Linked DNA regions of Macaca mulatta. The protein of the gene in region 1 interacts with the protein of each later gene in a biochemical or structural test. Links are inferred from orthologs where the notes say so. Each region holds a gene or a part of one and is shown on either strand. Other genes may lie near its edges.

Region 1 (4,047 bases):
ACTAGCTTGTTCTTCCCTTTCATTTTTTCCTATGAGGCAGAGGTTGGTGCTGGTGTTACAGGTCAGAGGTCAAATGAGAGGTGAATGATCAGATCAGCTTGCAGCCATAGGGGATGTTGAGGTGGCCCGGAGGGCTAATAGACAAGGGAAAATGCAGAGTAGGGAGGGAAATGGTGGTGGAGGGCTGACGACAGGCAGTTTTTCATGAGGTCAGAGCAAGGAAGAGAATGAGGAATCTTAGGGAATGGTGGGAAATGTGACTGAGGGCAAGGTCAGAGACTTTCAGAGACAGAAAAGGGCAAGAGTGGGAAACAAGGAGGGCAGTGAAAAGGGTCTATAACCTACCTTCACCAGGAAGAAGGAGACACCGTAAGTCTTGAGAGAACGGGCTAGCTTCACGTAGCGGACCTTGGCCTCAATCTCACTCATCTGCCCACAATTCTTGTGTGCCTGAGCATAAAACGGGGAAGAATTTAGCAAATAGTTTAATATCACAGCTAAGGAATTAAGGTTGGATGCTAATTACAACAAGAGAGAATTATGGGGAGACTGGAAAGGTTGAGGAGTGCAAGATATGAGAATGAGACCGCAACGGGATGGAGACTGATAAGGGCTATGCAGAAGCAATGAGTCGAGGGATACAGTCAAGGAACTTGTAGACATTCTGGAGATATGAACAGAGTTCGGAAGCAGAAGGGCAAAGAGAAGGCCTTTTGGGCTGAGTATTCAGAGTAGGGGGTAACATCTTATACATGGACAAAGACTGTACTCTTCCACAGTAATTTCAGATTATGCTACCTCATTTGATCCTCCTATCAGTCCTACACAGGGCAAATACTGTTATCCCAAATTAGAGAGAAATAAAAGAATACAAGAATATTGAACTGAATTGCACAGCAAAAGCAGGGATGGAGCTGAGACTAAAAGCCCAGGTTATCTTCTTTCTTGGCAGAGGTGAGGTGGGATAACAGTCTGGTGGGTGAAAGCTGAGTTAGGGGAGACAGGGAGGAGGCGGGGGGCCATTTAGTCAGTAAGATTAAGCAGCAAAGCTCCGCGGTCATCCCAAATACTTTCCCCTACCCACATTCACCTGGAAGATCTTACGCTCTCCCTTCTGCTTCACATACTCCTTGGGCAGGAAGTCCTTCAGGCTACACCAGAAAAGGGAGGGTCAGCATGTGGTAGACAGCATCAGGGGACATGTGGGCCATGAACTGTGGGCCTGGGGGTATGAGGAAATACCTACGACAGTGTTATCTTTGGGGAGAAAACAGACTCTTAGGGAATAGAGTCTAGATTATCTTCTGAAATAGAGGTGACTTAGTGTAAACTCTTCTTTTTTTTTTTTGAGATGGAGTTTCGCTCTTGTTGCCCAGGCTAGAGAGCAATAGTAGGATCTCATCTCACCAAAACCTCTGCCTCCCAGGTTCAAGTGAATCTCCTGCCTCAGCCTCCTGAGTAGCTGGGATTACAGTCATGCACCACCACGCACAGCTAATTTTGTATTTTTAGTAGAGATGGGGTTTCTCCATGTTGATCAGGCTGGTCTCAAACTCCCGACCTCAGGTGATCTGCCCGCCTCGGTCTCCCAAAGTGCTGGGATTACAGGCACGAGCCACTGCGCCTGGCCAGTATGAATTCTTAACGTAACCTGTGTCTCTCCCTGTAGGGAAAGGGACTGAGGAAAATTAAGTTAGAGGCTCAGTCCCTGAGGGAAAGTGGGTCTAGAGCACCATTTTAGGGAACCAAGACGAGAAAGAGCTTTCCAGAAGGATGACCATGCACTTAGGAAGCTGAGAAAGCCACGCCAAACTCTGCATTCCAAGAAACACCAGCAGATGAGGCTTGTGAGACTTTTAACCCACGTTCCCTATAGGGAAAATTTTACCCTGTTTCCCTCTGGCTACTGCAGCAAAATTCTTCAGACAATCTCAAAAAAAAGTGACATGCTTGCTTCAGAGATGGGGGTAGGGGCAGAGATACTGAACTACATTCATATTCCAGAGGTAGAGAAGAGACAGTGGATGATGGCAACTAAAAGGGTACCTATGTCAGTCAAACCCTGGTACCTCGGAAGAAGAAACAGGGGGAGCAGGCTTGGAATGGAGACAGGCCCACTGGGGTCACAATGGCAGGGAGTGCTGGGCCCTGACAGGGTGTAGGATGTGGGTCACTCACTCGAGGAAGCCAGCCTTGTGTTTCTGCTCATTGTGGGGCCCAAACTGGATCTGGCATTGGAAGCCAGCAAACTCACAGGCCTTGTCAAAGGAGACAGGGTGGGAGCCATTCAGGATGTCATCTCGTGCCTGGAGAGCACAGGGCAAGGAGGCAAATGTTGTGTGTGGGTGCAGGGACACACACACTGTGCTTCCGACCCCTCCTTATTCCTGCCCCACCCCAGCCAAGTCCTCTGCATACCTGCACATACAGGAGGTTCAGCTGTACGGGGTCCCGGGAATCCACATTCTGGTCTGAGTAAAAGAACTTCCTCCGCAGCAGCAGCGTCTCATGCTCCTCTACACCCTGCTCCCTCAGTGTCCGGCCATGGTCCAGCCAGTTCACTGGGATACAGACAGTCCCCTCAGTGCCAAACCCCCATGGCCCCTGTGTTGTCTGGTCTCTGTTTACTTCTCCACTTCCTACCTCTCCTTACTTAAATGTAAGTTCTGTGAATGTAGGACTTTGTTTTCTTACTGACGTATCCCCAGGGTGTAAAACAGTGCCTGGCAGAAGCACAGAAGGCTAAAGCCCCTTCCCACCCTTCCCATTTCAAAAGCCCTCTTTTTTCTGGTTCTGCTTACACTCGTCATCTGTGTGTAATTTCTGCTTTAATTTCTCCATCTTCTTTTCATCTCGCAGCAATGTCTTGTCTTTTCTTAAGGTCCCTGTCACTTCCTCCTTTTTCTCTTCCATCAGCTCTCGAACCAATGAATATTCATCATGGTTGGTGATGCCTGGGGAAGGAGATGGCTTGTTAGCTTCCCAGGTACTACATCAATGCCTTTTGAGAGAGCTGAGGCCTTCTGGCCCAGGCCTTCAACTGTACTGGGGCCCCTTACCAATGCGGGCACAGATGGTCATGAGCATGTCAGTGACAGTCTTAGAGTCATCCACCATGATCGTCTTCACAGTTCCATCCAGCATACGGATCTTCAGGGGTCTCTGTTTCTTCCTGTACTCCATAGTGTCCTGTTAGGGTAGGAAGAAGAGACAGGGGCCTACTCTGAGCTAAGGATATTATTTCCTCTTTACACAGCCTGAGGGGAGAGAGTGGAGCACTGAAAGGAAAACTATGGTGGTTCATTCAAAAGCAGGGAATTATGACTGTCTGTTAATAGGAAGAAAGCATGGGGAGGGCTAAGAGACAACAGATGTGGGTGCTGAAAACAGGAGGTGGAACAGGGAGAAGCTGATGGAAGGGGATGTGGTGGTCCTTGATGAAGGGATACTTACCCCATTTCGGAGCATGTAGTAGTCCAAAGCTTTCCCAGCCTCCAGCCATATACCCTTTTTGGGGTCATCATCTGACAGAAAGAGCCCAAAGTCGCTGGCTAAAAGAGAGGATGGATCACCTTAGGCTTATGAAGACTCCAATGCGGCTGAACAGCTTGTACCATGTTGCCCCTATTTCTCCCATGAACTTAGGCCTAAAGAAGGAGGGAACACAGACCTGAGGGGTGAGTAGTCTTAGGGGACAAAGGGGTCAACTCTCAAGGCCGAGAGCCTGGGAACAAGAAGGGACTGAAGACTCCCACTCCAGCCACCTGGGGAGTCAGACTCACGAGGACCAGCCGGGGCCTCTGGGATCCGCTCACGAATGATGCGGCAGGCGTCGTACACCATGGTAGACGGCTCAAACTGCATCGTCTTCACCACATTCCCAATGCTGATCTTCAGCGAAAGTGCAACCATGGTGGCGGCTTTTCTCCAGCCTGGCTATACCTGGCCCATGGCATCAGGGCATTAGAATACACTCTTCTGGTGGGAGAAGAAGCCCCCCAGATGGTGGAGTCCCAGGGAAGAGTGTTTTTGAAAGGGACTCACCAA
Region 2 (4,047 bases), on another chromosome or scaffold:
TCAGTTACAATGGTAGCTGATATTTACTGAGCACTTACTCTGTGCCAGGCATTGTTCTGAGTTTTTAAGATATATTTAATTTAATTATTCCTCATAACAAGTTTCTTTTAAAGTCAGTGCTATTACTATCTTCATTTTAAAGATGGAGAAACAGGAAACAGACATTCAGAAAGGTTAAGTAATTTTCCAAAGATCATGTATCAAAGTTAAGCGATAAGTCAGGATTCAAACCCAGGGAGTCTGGCTCTAGCGTCCACAGGAGCACAGACACACCAACAAATCACACTGCCTTCCTCTAGGAGAGAGAAGGGAGAGTGGTGGGGATTCTGGTAAACTAGAAAATATGCATTCCAAGTAAAAGGAGCAGCTCCTCCTCAGCTGTAGCTAGCTGCTGCCCTGCAGGAATATAGGTGTCAGTGTTTCTAAATCTTTGGATTTCCTTCCTTCCCTCCCTCCCTCCCTCCCTCCCTCCCTCCCTCCCTCCCTCCCTCCCTTCCTTCCTTCCTTCCTTCCTTCCTTCCTTCCTTCCTTCCTTCCTTCCTTCCTCCCTCCTTCCTTCTCTTTCTCTCTTTCTCTCTTTCTTTCTTTTGAAATAGGCTCTCCCTCTGTCATCCAGGCTGGAGAGTGGTGGCATGATAATGGCTCACTATGGCCTTGACCTCCCAGGCTCAAATGATCCTCCCACCTTAGCCTCCTGAGTAGCTGGGACTACAGGCATATGCCACGATGCCTGGCTAATTAAAAAAACAATTTTGTAGAGGCAGGGCCTCACTATGTTGCCCAGGCTGATCTTGAACTTCTGGACTCAAGCTATCCTCCTGCCTTGGCCTCCCAAGTGCTGGCATTATAGGCATGAGCCACTGTGCCTGGCCTGGATTTTCTTTTTAAAGAGACTAATATGAAATTTTCGGGGGAGAATCTCCTGATTATTCAATACTGCCAATAAAATCAATTTTTAATTTTTAATTTAATTTAATTTTATTTTTTGAGATGGAATTTTGCTCTGTTATCCAGGCTGGAGTGCAATGGTGTGATCTCGGTTCACTGTAACCTCCACCTCCCAGGTTCAAGTGATTCTTGTGCTTCACCATGCCAGGCTAATTTTTGTAGTTTTCATAGAGACGGGGTTTCACCATGTTGGCCAGGCTGGTCCCAAACTCCTGACCTCAGATGCTCTGCCCTCCTTGGCCTCCCAAAGTACTAGGATTACAGGTGTGAGCCACCACACCCAGCTTTTTATTTTTAAATTTTTTTAAAAAACTTTAATTTTAGCTTTAGGGGTACATGTGTGGGTTTGTTCTGTAGATAAATTGTGAGTCATGGGGGTCTGGTGTACCTATTATTTCATCACCCAGGTAATAAGCATAGTGACTCATAGATAGTTTTTTGATTCCCACCCTCCTCCCTGCCTCCACCCTCTAGTAGATCCCAGTGTCTGTTGTTCTCTTCTTTGTGTTTAATTTTTAAAATAAACACTTGGGTGAACCCCCACACAAAGGTGTGGCTGGGTTCTGTCTAGGGGTTACCAGGTCTAGACTTCTGATTTGAGTCACTCAGCACAGATTATTGCTGTCCTAATGATTGTCTCTGTAAAAAAATTAATTTTTGAAAACTGTCCTATTTCCTTCAAGGACCTTAATTACTTTGTCAAGAACACCTTATTCATAGCCAGTTCAAGTGATTCTTGCTTCATTCACAACCACCTGCTCTGTGCTTCTTCCTCACAGAGTGTCCCAAGGGCCCTGACATCCTGGTGGTCCTGCTGTCAGTGATGGGGGCCATTCTGCTCATCGGCCTTGCCACTCTGCTCATCTGGAAGCTCCTCATCACCATCCACGACCGAAAAGAGTTTGCTAAATTTGAGGAAGAACGCGCCAGAGCAAAATGGGACACAGTAAGAGATTGGGCTGGGCTTTTTCTAAAAAGTCATTGGTCTGAGGCCCTTATGTGGAAGCAACAGATGCTTTGGGTGGTCAGGTTCAGCCAGCACGATTGTCTTTCTGTTATCCTCTGTTCTGGAAACGGGGAGAGATGGTCTCACTGTCCCTTTGTCCTTCAGCTTCCTTTAGCCTCTTAGAAATAGTGGCAGGATGTCATTCCACCTCATTCTATTCTTTCTCCTCAATAAAATGGTTACTTCCAGGCTGGGCCTGGTGGCTCGTGCCTGGTGGCTCGTGCCTGTAATCCCAGCACTTTGGGAGGCCATAGTGGGCAGATCACTTGAGCTCAGGAGTTCGAGACCAGCCTGGGCAACATGGTGAAACCCCGTCTCTATTAATAATATAAAAATTAGCCGGATGTGGTGCTATTAATAATATAAAAATTAGCCGGATGTGGTGGTGCACACCTGTAATCCCAGCTATTCGGGAGGCTGAAGCAGGAGAATTGCTTGAACCATTAGGTGGAGGTCGTAGTGAGTGGAGATCGCACCCTTCTCTGGGTTACAGAGCAGGACTCTGTCTCAAAAAAAAATAAAATAAAATAAAATAAAAGGTTACTTCCAAATCAGACTTTACTCTTTTATCCTGATTTATTGTATTTTTAGTAGAGACAGGGTTTCACCATGTTGGCCAGGCTGGTCTCGAACTCCTGACCTCATGATCACTTGCCTCAGCCTCCCAAAGTGCTAGGATTCCAGGCGTGAGCCACCGCGCCTGGCCAAGAATGTGTTTCTTGAAACCACCATTAAGGACTACTAGACCGTATAGGATTTGTTACTTTCTGTTGGAAAATAGTTTGGGAAACCTAGTGAGGGTTTTTTTCCTGATAACATGACAGTTTGTGGATAGTGCTTTCTCTTTCTCTCCTCTTCCCTCCCCTCCTCTCTCCTCCCCTTCCTTTTTCCTTTGCTTCCCTCCCCTTCCCTTCCTCCCCTCCCCTCCTTTTCTTTCCCTTCCCTTCCCTCCTTCCTTCTTTTTTTGAGACAGGGTCTCATTCTGTCATCCATGCTGGAATGCAATGGTGCCATCATGGCTCAGTACAGCTTCAATCTCCTGGGCTCAAGTGATCCCCCCACCTTACCCTCCTGAGTAGCCAGGACTATAGGCACACATCACCACAGCCAGCTAACTTTTGTATTTTTTTCCCTTGTAGAGACAGGGTCTCACTCTGTTACCCAGGCTGGTCTCGAACTCCTGGGCTCAAGTGATCTTCCTACTTTGGCCCCTAAAAGTGCTGGGATTATAGGCATAAACCACCATGCCTGGCCATGGTTAGTGCTTGGCCAGATGAGATGAAAACAAATTAATAATTATTTGAGCAAAAGCTTTCCTCTGTGTTCTGAATTCCACCTGCTACATTTCTGTCCTTGTCCACATCTCCCATCGCTGTCACAGGGAATGGAAAATAGGAGAAGTGCAAAAGAGAGGGGGACACGGGGTGAAATAGGAGAAGTTCTATTCCTGAATGCTGTGGGATCACTGAAGAGTGATAGGCTGAATTTAGCTCCTTAGAAATAGTGTCAGGGAATGAGTGTGGTGGCTCACGCCTATAATTCCAGCACTTTGGAAGGCTGAGGCAGGTGGATCGCTTGAGCTCAGGAGTTTGAGACCAGCCTGGGCAACATGACAAAACCCCATCTCTACAAAAAAATGTAAAAAGTAGCCAGACATGGTGGTGTGTGCTTGTAGTCCCAGCTACTTGGGAGGCTGAGGTAGGAGGATATCTTAAGTCAGGGGAGGTGGAAGTTTCAGTAAGCCGAGATTGTGCCACTGCACTCCAGCCTGGGCAACAAAATGAGACCCTGTCTAAAACAATAATAATAATAAGAAGAAGAAATGGTGGCAGGATGGCATTCTATCTCATCTCCTCCTGTTATTTCCTATCGATTCCCATGCCAAGAACTAAAGTGGGAGTAAAATGAACATTATTCTGTTTCATCTATGGTGTATTCCAGAGAAGGGTACCTTGGGAAAACTTCTGAGATGAATTTTAAACATTCAGGGTAGGGAAGGACTGAGGAAGTCACTGTAAGATGCTCTTCTGTTTCCTTCACAGGCCAACAACCCACTGTATAAAGAGGCCACGTCTACCTTCACCAATATCACC

Evidence for each region. The genes of interacting proteins can lie anywhere in the genome.
Region 2: the proteins of TLN1 (region 1) and ITGB3 form a complex in vitro, tested with the Homo sapiens proteins (6 studies listed by BioGRID and IntAct, with this or other methods). The link is inferred for Macaca mulatta from reciprocal best matches to the Homo sapiens genes TLN1 and ITGB3.

Annotation. Positions count from the first base shown.
Region 1 is NC_133420.1:63,971,268-63,975,314, reverse strand, and holds part of TLN1 (talin-1), read right to left. Parts: intron 3,943-4,047; 5' UTR 3,913-3,942; coding exon 3,783-3,912; intron 3,552-3,782; coding exon 3,454-3,551; intron 3,190-3,453; coding exon 3,060-3,189; intron 2,955-3,059; coding exon 2,802-2,954; intron 2,562-2,801; coding exon 2,419-2,561; intron 2,307-2,418; coding exon 2,179-2,306; intron 1,152-2,178; coding exon 1,091-1,151; intron 451-1,090; coding exon 346-450; intron 30-345; coding exon 1-29. UniProt on the Homo sapiens protein: High molecular weight cytoskeletal protein concentrated at regions of cell-matrix and cell-cell contacts. Involved in connections of major cytoskeletal structures to the plasma membrane.
Region 2 is NC_133421.1:71,587,425-71,591,471, forward strand, and holds part of ITGB3 (integrin beta-3), read left to right. Parts: intron 1-1,727; coding exon 1,728-1,894; intron 1,895-3,996; coding exon 3,997-4,047. UniProt on the Homo sapiens protein: Integrin alpha-V/beta-3 (ITGAV:ITGB3) is a receptor for cytotactin, fibronectin, laminin, matrix metalloproteinase-2, osteopontin, osteomodulin, prothrombin, thrombospondin, vitronectin and von Willebrand factor.